2 linked regions of the Arabidopsis thaliana genome follow. The protein of the gene in region 1 interacts with the protein of each later gene in a pairwise test. Each region holds a gene or a part of one and is shown on either strand. Other genes may lie near its edges.

Region 1 (9,618 bases):
GGAAAATGCCAAATTTTGATTTACTAAGAGCTAATATAAGAACAAAACTGAAAAAGACAAAATAATAAAATGCTTCAAGTTTCAGTGCAAAACACAGATATAGCAAAAGGGTCCATCCATATAATAGAGGGAGATTTAATATTTTATCTTACACATATTTAAGCAAATAAAGACAAACCTCAGCTGATATTCATCAATAATAATTAAATAAAGTATAGAAGCCAGCAAATACACAACGTTTATGTTATATGTGCATAGTTTTTGAAATTTATTTGTAATTAAAACAAATATTTGTTGAACAAAATTGATATAAAACGTTCAATTCTAATTCGGAAATAAAACAATAATACAGAAAAAAATCTTGATTTAATAAGAGATTGTATATAAGATGAAGCTAAGCAAAACGAAAATGTTTGGATCTCTTTATAAAAAAATAAAAAAATAATCAATATAGAATATGGTAGTAGTAAACAAATCAGAGAAGACGGAAATACCCATTGAGTAAAGGGTGTCGACTCATACATCCCATCAAAGAAGTGAGGGGTATTTTTGTCATGACATAGAAGTTAAGCATATGGTTGTTCCTTTGTGGGAAGTATGAGGCAATCGCATGTGATGAGAGATTTTCATGCTAAGCCAATTCCAAATCCAACAACTAAGTACATTATTATTAAATATTGTTTCTTTTTCAATATTGTTGACAAACAAAGATCTCTGGCTTAAAAATGATTTTTTTTTCCATGAAACTTCTAATTGATAATGTAGTTACTTTATTTAGATGAAAAAGGTTTGTTTTTGTAGTGAATTCTTTGGTATTTTTGATCATATAACACATGCAAATAAATAAGATAAGAGAAGAAGGAACAATTCATTTGGGTTGAGAAAGGCATGAGCATTTGAAAGTTTGGGGGAAGAGAAGCAAGTATGCACATGCTCTTCTTAAAAAAAATGCTAAGAGATAAAAAGCTAAAACCTTTTTTTGTGTTGCACGTTCCATTGTTCTTCCTTTTCTATATTTTAATTCGTTACAACTCCCTAACCTAACTATGTATTATAGATGATCCGAGCCATATAATTATTAATCTATTTCTTTTGGTTTGAAGCAATTACAATTGATAATCTCAAAGTACGCTAATTGCATGCATATAGCGACATAACGAATCGTTTTTATACATTATAACATTATTACATGAATTCCATCATTTTATGTACACATGGTTAGACATTATTACGTACATTGTTTTACGTTCACGAGTTTGTGACATAAACCATCATCAAACATATTCTACATGCATTATATTACACACACATGTGTTTGGCCATTGGTATAGAGAAAGCCTAATATGCTATCTCTTTCTCTCTCTCTCCACCTCTCTTTATGTGACAAACATAGCTGCAGAATCTGCAAACCTCTCTGCGTGTTAGCACAAATGATGAAAACGAGAGAGAGAGATAAATAGTCACTTTCAATGCAATTGAGTGCACATTAAATGCGACGGGAAAAAAACGTCATCGTTTTCAGTGCCATAGAGTTGAAACGGAGTAACGGGCAGGCATTTGTCACTCTCTTATTTACTTAACCCACTTCTTTAGTTCTCTCAGACAGACATTCATGTCATTTCTTCAAGTCCTCGTTATTAAAGTCTTTATATCCTCCTAATTTCTGCATCGAAATTGGTCCCAAAAGATGTACAAAAACCAAACCCACCTCGGATTTTAGATTTTTGTAGTGTATAGCTTCTTCAATCTCATACGCAAAAGATCGTCTTATTTTTGTTATTTTATATTTTCTTTGCTATATATGCGTATATGTATGTATCTATATACTTGCCCCAATCAAACTCTTTCTCTTTCATGTATCGACATTCATTTATTATGTATGTTCACACATCATAGACCTGTCCAATCTAAAAATATTTGGGTTTTTTTTTATAAGAAAAAAATTCATCTAAAAAATGTTTGGCTAGAAACATGAATAATCACCATTATGTATTAATTAAGAAATCTCAAATGGGTATATTATATGAATCATGTGGCTTAAACATGTATTATCTTTGTATGACTTGCACACCAAATTTTATTTATCACCACAAAGTTTTCAGATGGAGTTATCTTCTTAACGCAGTGTAGTCTTGGGTTTCAAATTTTATACTAAACACACATGAATAATGCACAACAATTTGATGAGTGGCTATTTATTTATCTCTCATGAATATTAGGTGTTTTTAACTATCTATTTTTAAGGTCAACTAGACTAAATACTTAATTACTTAGAATCCAACGACCAGTTCTATATAAAATTTGATATGGACTACTCTGAGTATTGGTCATATGTGTGAACAGTAGAATTATTTGACATGCATTTTCTTGTAAAATTTTACTTAAAATAAAATCAGAAGTCTCTGTAAAAATTTATTTCGAGACAATAAATGAGTAGCTAGAAAATTTGCTAAAAGTTGTAATAACAACAAGTGAAAATGGGTCGGGCTGTTTTATCATCATTATAGATCAACACTTTTTGTCCGAATCTAACGAAAGATGAAACGATGTTTGTTTATGAACCTCGTTATAAGTGTAACGGTCACGGACCAAAACGACATCATAATAGTACATTTCCCATCACTCCATATATCAACTCGTGCCAAGCAACTACTTACCCTCTTTCAAACTTACTAAATATACTGGTATACATTAGATGTCGATAATCTCTATCATGCAGGGACTGTTTTGATCCTTAAAACGTGAGATTTGTTTTCAAATATATCACCTCAAGCTTACCAAAAATAATGTAGACAAATCAAGGATAAGCAAATGTATATTTAACCGAATTCAAATCCGCATATCACATGTTTTATTAAAAAAATTGTATATCCATTGAAAGTTCTAAGCGAATCTAAGGCCAAAGATCAAAACACGCATGTACGGATCTCCACTCTTAACTCCTTCTAAACTACTGTAGACGTTCAAGACGAAAAAATATCTATATAAAAATTTAAATAGTTAATTTCAAGGTTTTTTTTTTGTTGATAAAATTTAATTTTAAGGTTCTATATGAAACCTAGGATAAAATCATTTTTCAACAATTTAAAGTGTAATGTGGCGGAAATGACAGTAACATAGTTACAAAACATAGTCTAATATTGTTGGACCAAAGAAACAACTATATAACAACCATTACATAATATATGGTAGTTGAAAAAATTAACACAACCGGTAATTAATACACAAAAGTATAATAAAGTTAACCTCAATTTAAATATCTTATGTTTTCTTCGGTTTTACTTAAAAACCATTTTCCAACTCTCCGTCAGTATTCGCTGACGACATGTAACTCACGACAAGAGACGTCTCATCAGCCGTAGCCGCCGGAACCGCAACTGCTTGAAACTGTCCTTTACATGTTTGACAAGTGACCTGCATGATCGTTGAACTTATCTTCTTCATAGATTGTTCCTTTAAAAACTTAGCTCTCTCGAGTTCAGCTTGTGCTTTTTGCCTAATCTTTTTGGCATTTGCAAACTCGTTTTCCGCTATCTCTCGTTGCCTCTTGGCTTCTCTTTTAGCTTCCTCAGCGTAAGCTTTCTCCTTCATCGCTATCTTCATAATTTGCTCGCTCGCCATAATCTCTTTTATACGATCAAAGTTGTTGTAATGTTGATATGATGATGATGGTGCAATGGAGAGGTTTAAGTTTGTGGTATCATGATTATGATTATGATGATGAGATGGTTCTTTAACTTTTTGTTGTTGGTTTTCTTGATTAGGGTTTTGATTCGACGATAATGGAAGAAGTTGGAGTTCGAGGTTGAGATTGTTTGATGAGTTGGTGAGAATTGAAGATGAGATTCTCTGATGAATTGGACGGCCTTCTAGAGGTTGAGGAGTCGTAACCGCAACTGTACCGCCGTAATTGGTTTCACTAGACGGAGTGCTGACGGTTGAGGCGGTTCTAGAAGAGCATGCCGGGACTGTTACCGCGGTTTGTGGTGGTCGAGGCGGTTCACGGTGAACTCTCCGTGCGGAACAATTATCTTGATGTTCAATAAAACTCTCCACCCTAAAAGAAGAAAAGAAACCTATCAATTACATAATTTATATGACGTAGGATTATGAAAATGTGACAAAGTTAATAATTTTATATTAAGTTTTTCTGTTTAAACGTCGTTTATTAAATACCTTTGAACTCAAAAATATATATTATTAATATGAGTTTAGGTCCAATTATAACCTTTGTGTCGAAAAAAGGTCCAATAATAACCTAAATACATAAAATATTTCTTTAGAGATTGGGGTCAATGTCATTAATCTAAGTGCTTAACTTTCTTTTTATGTCACAAAAACCAAACAAATAGTCAAGAGATATATTAAAAAACTCTGATGCATACACATCAATACACAGAATTAGTAAAAATCATGAAGGATAGTCAAATCAAATAGTACTATAACTATCAATCTTAGTCTTTGGTCCCTAGAAGAATTTTCTATATTTGTCTTTCTATATGATCTCCTAAATATACAAAACAAACAGAGTCAAATTACTTGTATATTTTAGAAATACTTAACAAATCCTTCCAAAAGTTTGCATATCTTTTCAGAATTAATAATACCAATAATTAATTTATAAAATGGGTCAAAAAAAAATCAAATGATAGAGAGGAACAAGAAATTATACCTGGAGAAGACACGACCACAGTCACAAGAATGTCCTCTAGTACCACAAGTTTTGAGATGAGCTTTGTAATCAGATTGAACAGCATAACCTTTAGAGCATCTCTCACAAACCCATTGCTTATGGTTACTATGTTTTCTTCTGAAATGTTTTTTGATGCCGACAAGATCTCCCAGAGCATGACAAGGATTATGGTGAAGGCAAGTGGGTTCAGGGCAAACATAGACTCGTTTCTTCACCTCTATGTTGTTGTCTCTTTTAAGAAGCTTCCATGGAACTTTGTGACGTCTTCTATGCATCTGGAGATTCTGGTCTCTTTGAAACCCTTGGTTACAGATCTCACATATGTATCTGTCTGATTCAAGAAGAGTTCTTGGTGATAAAGACACAACTTCTGCATCTGGATCTGAAAAGGAGATAAGGCAAAACCCATCAAAACACATGTCTTAGTTGATTAATAAAGTTGAGATTTTAAATGAGGTTTAAGAATTAAAAACAATGAAAACCCATTAATTGTACCTATAACTTTGAAACTGGCAATAAGAAAAAGAGAAATTTTAAAACTAAACCTATAATAAACCTGTATTTCTAATGGGGTTTAAGAGAAAAAAAAAACAAAAAACAATAGTACCCATGAGTTGAAAATTTTCATAAGAAAATAAAAACAAGAAAAAAAGATTTTGAAAAATAAATTTTCTGTAGTGGGGATTTATTATTACCTGGGGTACCTGCAGGTCTTCTTTTCCTCTTCTGAGTGGATGTGTTTGTGGTGGTGACCCCATTTTCTGAAGAGGAGAGGAAAGGATCAGAAGAAGAAGAAGAAACCACACAACATGTGTTTGTGTTCTTGTTGGACAACATCACTTGATCTGTTCTCATCAATTACTCTACTTTTCTTGATCTTTCTTTTTGACTTTATTGTATTTGGATTCTAGAGATTGATTTGATGAAAGAACAAGGCCCAAAGACCAAAAAAAAAAAAAAATGAAAGAAGAAGAGATAGTGGGAGATTCAGCTTTACAAAGAAGAGGAAGGGTGATAAAGAGAGATATAGGGGGAGAGAAAAAGTTCTTTTAAGCTTTCTGCAACAAAGGCTTTTCAAAACTTTTTCTTAGGCTCTTCAAAGTTTCTCTTATGTTAATATGATGAAAGCTTTTTAATTTTCTTGAGTCTCTCTCTCTCTAGCTCTCTCTTTGGGTATATATTTTGACTCTTCTTCAAAAACCTATTTCTCTCTCATACACTTGAGAGTTGAGAGCAAATAAGGGGTCTTTGATGTCTATATTGCTTCTACTTATAAAGCTCATTGCACTATGCCATCATTGCGTAAAATGTATACATACACTCGTGTAGCTAGAGAGAGAGAGAGAGAAGGTGGTGTATTTATTTAGATTTAGATGTAGATTTTAGATTTTTCTTTTTGTTATTTTGTATTTATTTTTTAGACTTTGTTTCTTTGAGCATGTTGGATATATGAATTTTTTGGCTTGGACCCATATCTTGTCTGATTGATGAATTTGTCTGATTTTCTTGAACCTTCACAAACTATTTTTTTTTTTTTTTTTGAAACATTTTATTTTATGTTTGAGATTATCTACATGAGTTTCTTCTAACAAATGAAAAAAAAAAATATATGAGATCATACGTCCACATGTAAGGCTTGCCTTTCATCAAAATATTATGCAGGTTAGAGGCTTAAAATAGCAATAGTTGTATTGTATCTGCAAATTAGGAGAGAATTTATGAATATCGATACGGTGCTAACTCTTAGATGATGTAAGAAGCAATTAAATAATAAGGTTAAGATACTTCATTACTTCTAATTAACTTTTTGACTGTCACTCTCAAGTCCTATAAATAGTGTGATTATACATCACTAATACATCTTGCGTTTCATTATTGTTAAAGCAATCCAATAATATATAGACAATTTAAGAAAAATTGTCATTGTTAACTATATATGAATGTTATGTCATCATGTTTCCAACGTTGGTCCACATACATGTTAAGATTCTTTTCGAATTACACTTGGAAACAAGGAGAGAAAAAAAAAGGTATATGGTTCTTGTGAATAATCCAAGGATAAAAATGCATTATTGCATTAAATACCAAATTCTGTAAGTTTACAATAATGCAGACAAACTATTATTTTTTCTTTCTATTTGGCTTATATAATGGATGTACTAGTGCCCATACATAGTTAGGGGAAGAAAAAAGACAAATATATCAAATTATACATGCGTATAAAAATAATTCAAACCAAGAGTAAATGTGAAAGTAGTATTAGTATGTTTTTATAAAACCCTATTTTAGTAAAATTCATATTCGATCCCTCGCGCACGTGACCTTATGTCTTACTCACGTGACCTCTTTTTCCCTCCACTCTCCACTGTCGATTCCTTTTAGGCTATTGCCTTTCTTCTCAGTCATTCCTTAAGAAGGTTCATTAACAGATCTAAGAATGTTACTGGATCAAGAATGAAATGAATCTTATATGAAAACATTTTTTTTTTTTTGATGGAACTCATATGTAGACTACCAAAATTAATCATTATTATGGTTTAAATTTTCTCAATCATAAGTTTTGTTACTTTAACACATTTTCTCTGTTTCAATTATGGTTTAAATTTTCTCAATCATAAGTTTTGTTACTTTAACACATTTTCTCTGTTTCAATTGTAAATGCCATATGTATTCCTTCCTTAGCTTGATCGCTATTCGCTACTAGTTGTTTTTATTTTTGTTATTGCCGAATAATAAATTAATTTGCAGATAAAAGAAACAAAAGATACCTCATAATGTTTTTTGTCAGTTGTCAAAAATTGGTTCTAAATGGACCGAAAGGAAAAACAGAACAAATTAGACGAGAAGATGTGATCGAGTTACTACGGTGACAGCTTTGTATAAAGGAAAGAAATGAGATCGTGTTTGTAATCATTTCCTAAGATGAGATTACTCTCCCATCTCTTACTTAACCCTTTGCTTATCGATTATTACCACTGATTAGATCTTTTCTAGCTGATACATAATGCATGATATTTATTTCGGAGCTACAAAATTATAAATTTGTAGTTTCTAATCGTTATATATGGACTTGAGAGACCACAACATCTTAAATGAATGCAAAAATTCAAAAAGAAACAAAAACATGTTAAATGAAATACAATAGTCTGATTTTTAATAGTCAAAAATAAATCGACAATGGCCTAGTGGTTGATCCAAGGTTAAAAGTTATACATAAAAGTTGAAATCTAAGTTTAATGTATAAAAATATTGAGCTCTTTAGACCTAGTTTTTGGACATTCAGGTATATTTACCTAGGATATATCTCACAAATATTAACTATATAATCAAGATAAATTCGAATAACAATGGTAAACTATTAGAAGTTAATTCAAGAGAATGAATAAAATAATATAAGTAGGAGATTTGAGTTGGAAAGAAGGATCAAGTCACATGCTCCAAATTTACAAAGCAAAGAAATGCCATCATCTCCCCCAACTCCTCCCTTTGATTCTCTCTTTATCTTTTCTTTTTATCTTCAATTATTAATGTTTTTAATAATAAAAAACCATATATATAAACATAAAATTAGTTATTTATCTGAAAAGAACATTCTCAATACATCATTACTCATTTTATTCGGATATTTTGGTCTCATGCCTTCATTCTCAAGTTTCGCATACATCCATAAACTCTATAAAATGTTGCCAAGAAAATAAACACAATGTGTATAATTGTACTCAATCTTTCAAATCGAATTAAGATAAAATACAACTTCAGTCAACAAAATTTTTTTAGTCAAAATGTACGTGTGTAATTATAATGTTGGCTACTCAATTTAAAATCAAATTAAGTTGGTGAAACAAAAAAAAAGTGGTTATGGGCCGAAATGATTACCGGCCTTGAATATGAGTCCACTGGACGTAATTTTGATATTAAGTATTTGGGTCTCTTATCTCTTAAATGAGTCGCATATGGGCCAGTTGTTGAGCATTATCCATGGAAATCAAAAAGTTGCATGGAAACAGAGACTTTAACAAAAAAAAGCTTCTTCCGGAGATTCATACACATAAATCTCTATCTTCATATCTAGTGTGAATCCAGCTATTGGAAATCTTTGGATGTTTGATCAAGTGTTGAATTTCTCTGTTTGGATGTTGTACATCTTCTTAATTAGTTACATGCTTAATCTTCTTCTTGTTTTTTTTTTTTTGAATACCAGAACATTCTGAACCAAAGCCGTAATTTCCGAAGACCCAAAAGTACAACATGTAACGCGACCTCTAAGCTTTGCCTAGAATATTTACCAATTAAAATAATAATATTTGGTTAATCTTCGTCTTGTTAGCTCATACGTCAGACAATGAAAACAAAAGGTAATTGATGTTTTCATTACTTGAGGATTAGATATTGGTCAAGCTTAGTTGTGGCTATGGGTTAAAGACTAAGATCTCATTAGTAAAAGTGGTATTGAGCTTGCCTTCTCAATGCTATGACAAATACTGTATATTTTATCAATAGTACAATGTAAAGGATAAGGAGAAGAAGTGGGCTTTGATTTTGTTTTTGTCTTCTTCTTCTTCTTCCCCCAAATCTCTTTACCCTACAAATAACCAAAAATAATCTCTTCACCAAAAATATTATATTAAAGTGTCATTTTTAGGATTTTCTAAGAAGAAAAAAAAAACAGGGAAGATCTTTTTAAGCTTCTCTTTCCTCTCTCTTCTATCTTTCTTTCTCTTTCTCAATCTCTCTCAGGTTTCTCTCTCCTCTCTCCAGGAGGTCAAAAAATTCTTTAAAGAGCCGTTTAGACCAAACCCATGTAAGAGATTTCTCTCTCATCAATCTATGTCTCTTTCTCTCTCTTTCGAAAATTATCATTTGCGTCCTCTTTTTGTACTGTTTACTTTGTCTTTCCCATTTCTAGCGATCTTCTCATCGAAGCT
Region 2 (6,346 bases), on another chromosome or scaffold:
TACCGTTTAACCGAGGGAGCTTGTCCTGAGAGCTACGGACTTCAAGTGGCACTCATGGCTGGAATACCAAACCAAGTGGTTGAAACAGCATCAGGTGCTGCTCAAGCCATGAAGAGATCAATTGGGGAAAACTTCAAGTCAAGTGAGCTAAGATCTGAGTTCTCAAGTCTGCATGAAGACTGGCTCAAGTCATTGGTGGGTATTTCTCGAGTCGCCCACAACAATGCCCCCATTGGCGAAGATGACTACGACACTTTGTTTTGCTTATGGCATGAGATCAAATCCTCTTACTGTGTTCCCAAATAAATGGCTATGACATAACACTATCTGAAGCTCGTTAAGTCTTTTGCTTCTCTGATGTTTATTCCTCTTAAAAAATGCTTATATATCAAAAAATTGTTTCCTCGATTATAACAAGATTATATATGTATCTGTCGGTTTAGCTATGGTATATAATATATGTATGTTCATGAGATTGGTCAAGAGAAATACTCACAAACAGTATATTAAGAAGGAAATATGTTTATGCATTAATTTAAGTTTCAAGATAAACTGCAAATAACCTCGACTAAAGTTGCAAAGACCAAACACAAATTACAAAACTTATAAGACTTAAGTTCTGAATTCCCTAAAACCAAAAAAAAAAACAGAACATATTTTGTTGCATCTACAAACAACACAAACCTACATAGTTTATAACTTACTCATCACTGAGATTAACATCAGAATCATTCTCCATTTCTTCATCTTCACTCTCATCATCATCACCACCACCATGATGATTCTCCTCCTCTTCACGTAACCTAGCAATCTCACTCTGAGCTCTATCAACAATCTGCTTCTTCTGCAACTCCAAATCTCTCTGAAAATCAGCTCTCATCTTCTCCAACTCCTTCATTTGCTCTTTCTTACTCTTCTCCATCTTCTCATAAACCTTCCCAAACCTCTCAACAGAATCCGCCAACATCTTATACGAAGCAGCGTCATTAACCTTCTTCCTCTCGTACTCAACCTCATCATCCTCATCCTCCTCCTCTTCAGAATCACCAGGACTATCCATCATCTCATCAAACCCATTAGACTTATCTAAATAAACCTTAGTGTTCATAAACACAAACTCACCTGAATCAACACCACAAGCTAAACCTAAATCCGACTTGGGCGAAACACAAAGCAACATATCCAACTTATTGAAAAACGACCATTTACTTGAACCTAAACCTGATTTCTCAACCTTAATCTTCTCTTTTCTATACTTCCTCTTCAAGTCATCAATCATTCTCCTACATTGCGTCTCAGATTTCTCCATCCTTAGCTCCTCACTCACTTTCTCAGCTACTTCATTCCAATCCTCGTTCCTCAAACTCCTTCTACCCAATTGCAAAAACCTATCTCCCCAAACTTCAAGCAACACAAAAGCTTCTTGCTCTCTCCAATCATACGCAACTTTAGCATCACTAGGACCAGCAAATTCAAACCCAGAAACTACTTTGTTTGGTTTCTGTCTCTTCTGAAACCTCTCATTTCCACGAATGTATCCTCCTTGTGGATCTTCCTCTTCTCCTTCGACTTCATCTTCGTCTTCTTCTTCATTGTAATACGCGTGACGCTTAGGTATTGGTCTACTATACATTGGATGGTTTTGCCGATTCAAAGAGTAAAACTTTTTTGGGTATCCTGTTTCATCTTCGCTGTCACCCATCTTTGAGCAAAACCCAGAAAAGCAAAAGAAGAGAGAAGAAAGGCAGATCTAGGGTTTCAAATCGGACAGATAGAGATTTACCTGATTTTTGCACCTAATAGAGGAATATCTTGGAGGGTTTAGCTTTGAGAAGAGATAAGTAGAAGAAATTGATGAGGTTTATAAACCATGGCCGTGTCTAGGGTTAGGGATTTGCATTTTCAGCCGGGTCGGAGTAGAAGAAAAGCTACCACCACCGGTGAACATTGCCTCAGCCAGCGACGGAGTTTTGTCGCGGCGTTTGTTGGGACCATCCACTGGGTCATATTGGGCCAGTTTGGACAGCACTAATGGGCCAAGAGGACCACAATTATTTAATTTTAACCGATAGCCCAAGAGTTCCCAACTAAAACTAACGATCATTAAGAAAAGGAGAGTCTAAACTCTAACGAATATCAGCTTTGGTGTCGGTTAACTTATGACTTATGGGGTCAATTTCTGACATTTAGGGTCATAATATTTTGACCTTTAGCGTCATATTGGCTCAAAGGATTTGAAGCTGTCGATTTTTGGTGGGTTCGAAGATCTGCGAATGCAGTTACTGATCGACTAGCTAAAATGGGTGCCATTGAAACAATATGTTATTTTGATTCTCTGCTTTATATTCTTAAATATGCTACGTATGCTTTTAATTAATCTGAATAAGTTCAAAAATTAAAAAGGGCTAAGTTTTATTTTTCATATCACGGTGTTATTACTGAACTTGCAAGAGTTTAAGCTGCAAGAATATGAATTGCATAAGCATCTACTATGGGAGCCTCGGTTGTGGGAAATCTCCATGTGTCACATTATGATTCATACGTTTTTGAAAAATGTGAAAGTGTATCCCAACGATAATTCATTTAATACACTATGTAACGTATAATTTTTTAAATTATTAATGATGAAATCTTGTTTGAAGATGATAGTATTAAATTAAGTGGACTAAAATAGAGAAATGCCAGAACTCTTTATTTAATAATTGTTTGTTTCTGTGTTTTAATATAAATAAATGAATGTTATGCTTATTGCCAATGAAAATGTCGACCACGCTTCAATGTTGGTGAGTAATTATTATGCATCAAAAAGGAAGTAAGTATAACCTTAATGGAAATGATCATGGTAGTGATAAGGATCATAAATAATCGCAACGAATTTTGTTGCATCAATGCATCATACTATTGAATAACTAACACTAGTCTCGTACAATTTGATTTTAGGTGTTTAAATCTCGTTAGTGTAAATATAACGAGATAAACATTTACAATACAAAAAAAAAATTGAATTGTGTGACCTTGTAAGAACAGATTTTCGAAAAAAATTAAGAGTTGAGTCATTGATATGAAGAAGCTTCCAAGACAATGATATATGAATTGGTTAGAAACAAGAATTAATATTAATCATAACTCTTAAGTAACTCGGTCATTCCCACATTGACATAAGTAAAAAATAAATTTTAAAAGATTTGATACTTGAGTTTGGTATTCCTGCTAAGTAAAAAAAGAAGAAAAAGATTTGATACTTGAGTTGAGTTGGCATTGTGGACTTTAATTTCGTTTGAATCTCATTAACATGTTAGGCTTAATTATAATTAAACCTAGACGATTGACCTGTTTTGTGGGTAGATGTACCAATATATTTCAATGATTATAAAGGTTTAGTTTTGATCTCTAAATTTTCAATTTTTTTTAACAGTTTCATTTATAAAAAAAATTAATACAATTTTTTTATAAGAAAAACAGTATAGTTTAAAACAAGCTTTAAAAATTTCAAGTCTCAAATCAAATAAATAGAGATTGTTTTTTATGAGACAGTAAACACTACAACATCAACTTTCTTATAAAATATAACAAATTGTTTTACAAAATTCAGTAGGTAGAGTCAGACAGGTATGTATTCGTATAATTTTAACTTTTCAGATTTTTTTCATTAATGTAACTCATAAAACGTTTAAATAGATTAAACAGTGACATCTCATAATTACCTAATACTGATAAAGCAACAAACAATTTTAAGGTAATAATATAGTATTTTTATAAAACGGTTGAGCTAAATATTTGAGATACATACTCATTGTTCTTTAGTATCCAGTACTACTATTTACACAATCAACAAGAACAACAAAATTGTGATATATATTACAGTTCCTCCACATGAAAATAATAAAGTGAAGTAACGGTCCTAGGCTCCTAAACGGATATCTTGGGAGAGAGATGTGAACAAACTTGAAAATTCGTATGAAAGATTTTTGATAAGCCAATCATATTACATGTCACAAGATATCGATGAAGTGAAAATAAAAATGAAATTAGTATTTTATGGTTGGAAGGTCGCGTCGAGAACATAAGTGTAACGGAGAGAGAGAGTCAATGAGTGATCATAAAACCGTTACGAAGTTTCTCAAGTCTTTGACAACAATCTCTTTCAAACGCGTTATGAGTGGTTACGTTCGCTCACTCCAATGCCAACTATGTTGCTTTCACCAATTTTTTGTCTTTTGTCTTTACTTTGAGGCTTTGAGCATTTATTTCTTAATCTTTTATTTATTTTTATTTATTGATTTGACAAATATATAGTCCAAAAGTATCTTCGGTGATTTTTTTGGTAAGGGGATTCCTACGAAAGCAGGATGCTCTATTGCCAATAATATATATAGTTTAGTTAATTAATGAGGAAGTTTTTGGTCTAGTGTTAAAGATAAAATGTTTGCCAAAAAGTTGTAAAGCACTTTGATTTACATGAGATTCCAAATAGAAAAGACTTATTGGATGGAGAAGAAAAGAGAAATTGGTTATAAAGGATTTGATATTTAACCAAAATAAAAATTAAAAAACAAATTTGATGGGACACTGACTTGGTCTCTTGGTTAGAAGAAAAGAGATTTTGGATGGTCTGGTTGCTAGTAGATGATCTCAACCATAGTGGTCTGCTTCACCTCACTGGTCAAATGTTCATCTAAGCACTAAGATTTTGTATTTCTCTACGCAAGAACTTTTATTCTGTGTGAGCTTCCAGATTCATTAGTACTGGAAGGTAAAAGTAACTCTGATACATACTCAACTAGAGAATGAAGTTCACATATCTATAGAAGGATAGAAAATACAACTAATAGCAAATGATCATATACTCTAAGAAATAATTTCTTACCTCATAAGAAGATATGACAACCTTGTCATCTTCACAATTGCATGATATTTTCATAGTACATAATGTTACATACAATTATCAAAAATAGACTATAGAGTCTTTATTTTTTAAAAAAATCGCCAAATTTATAAAATTGTATGATTAGTTGGTGAAAAAAACAGAGATGGCTAGAGTGTATGAGAAACATAATGAAATGAATAATGAATTAACAAGTAACACTTGATGCACACACAAAAAAAAGAAAAAAAATCAAGGAACACTATTTTTTTGTCAATCATAATGCATTACAAATATAGAAAAGGTTTGTGGTGTATCATCCATTACAAGAACCCGATAATCCTAGAGATACAATAGCGTTATAGTAAATGTACATGAATATTTTGCTAATTGATCCGTCATTTACCATCGAATCTTCTAGGGTTTTTGAATTCTTGTGCATGGTTCTCATGAATCACATCTAGTCTATTAAGGAACATTATCTTCCTTATAATTACATTAACAAGACTAAGCATATAATAACAAAATACTTAATTTTATTTTATTCATTTTCTTTAAATTGAAAATGGCAGAAATAAAGATGTTGCATTGTTGGCTCAACAAGAGAAACTCGATAACCTATATTCAAATGTACAAATTATGTTTAAATAGTAATTAAAAGCATTTGGGTTCTTAAGATAATGAATGAATGTTCACACAGTATTTAGCGCACAATCAAGTGGACAAAAGACGTTGAAGACTTCATGGGAAACTTACCATGCGACCTACCTAGTTATTATAACTTCTTTCACTTGGCCTCCTCATATAGACGAAGCCGGTAACAGATGAAAATGTTGATCACCTCGTTCTATTATTTAAATCAAAAATTCATGACAAAATTTAACCGCATAGCATTGTTGATTTAACAAGAGAAGTGATAACCTAGATTCAAATGTATAATTTAGGTTTTAAGAGTAATTAGAAGCACTTGGTTTTTAAGAAAGTGAATGTTTGAGTATTAAAAATAGCAGTTGGTTTAAAATTTAAAAAGAATAAAACAGTACCAATCGTTAGATCATTATAGTTTTACTAGCATATTAAGAAGTGTTGCGAGATTTGTGATGAGAAAAATAGTGGTTACTTTCATATAAGCTCAGGTGAGAAATCTATATGTTTCTCCACGGAAAAGAATACTATGCATATTATGCATAATTTCCAAATTTATATACAATACGTACAAATCTAATAAAATAATCAAAAATATGTATATGTTTGCATGGTTCACTCTAGATCCTCCATACTAAGCTCCTTCATCAATCATCAACGGCTGATTTTTAGTGCAACACTTTCACCTTTTTCAATATTTTACACTGTAACAAGATCTGAATACTTGTATAATTCCTTCATATGGAGACACGATCTCGTGAATTAGTGAAGTTTGCATTATTTATGGGACCTTTTGGCCCACAAGAAAAAGTGTCAGGATACAAAACTTGTGTGTAT

What was found.
Region 2: the proteins of SGR5 (region 1) and AT3G24490 interact in a two-hybrid assay, tested with the Arabidopsis thaliana proteins (one large-scale study listed by BioGRID).

What each region holds. Positions count from the first base shown.
Region 1 is NC_003071.7:428,582-438,199, reverse strand, and holds SGR5 (C2H2-like zinc finger protein), read right to left. Parts: upstream 5,926-9,618; 5' UTR 5,549-5,925; coding exon 5,389-5,548; intron 5,354-5,388; exon of another isoform or gene 5,189-5,353; intron 5,076-5,188; coding exon 4,689-5,075; coding exon of another isoform or gene 4,673-4,688; intron 4,077-4,672; coding exon 3,283-4,076; 3' UTR 3,123-3,282; downstream 1-3,122. UniProt on the Arabidopsis thaliana protein: Transcription factor involved in inflorescence stems gravitropism, probably by regulating starch accumulation in amyloplasts of graviperceptive cells. Required for stem circumnutation movements. Regulates lateral organ morphogenesis and gravitropic responses.
Region 2 is NC_003074.8:8,906,378-8,912,723, reverse strand, and holds AT3G24490 (Alcohol dehydrogenase transcription factor Myb/SANT-like family protein), read right to left. Parts: upstream 2,303-6,346; 5' UTR 1,703-2,302; coding exon 701-1,702; 3' UTR 501-700; downstream 1-500. Other genes in the region: MSH7 (MUTS homolog 7), read left to right, coding at 1-306.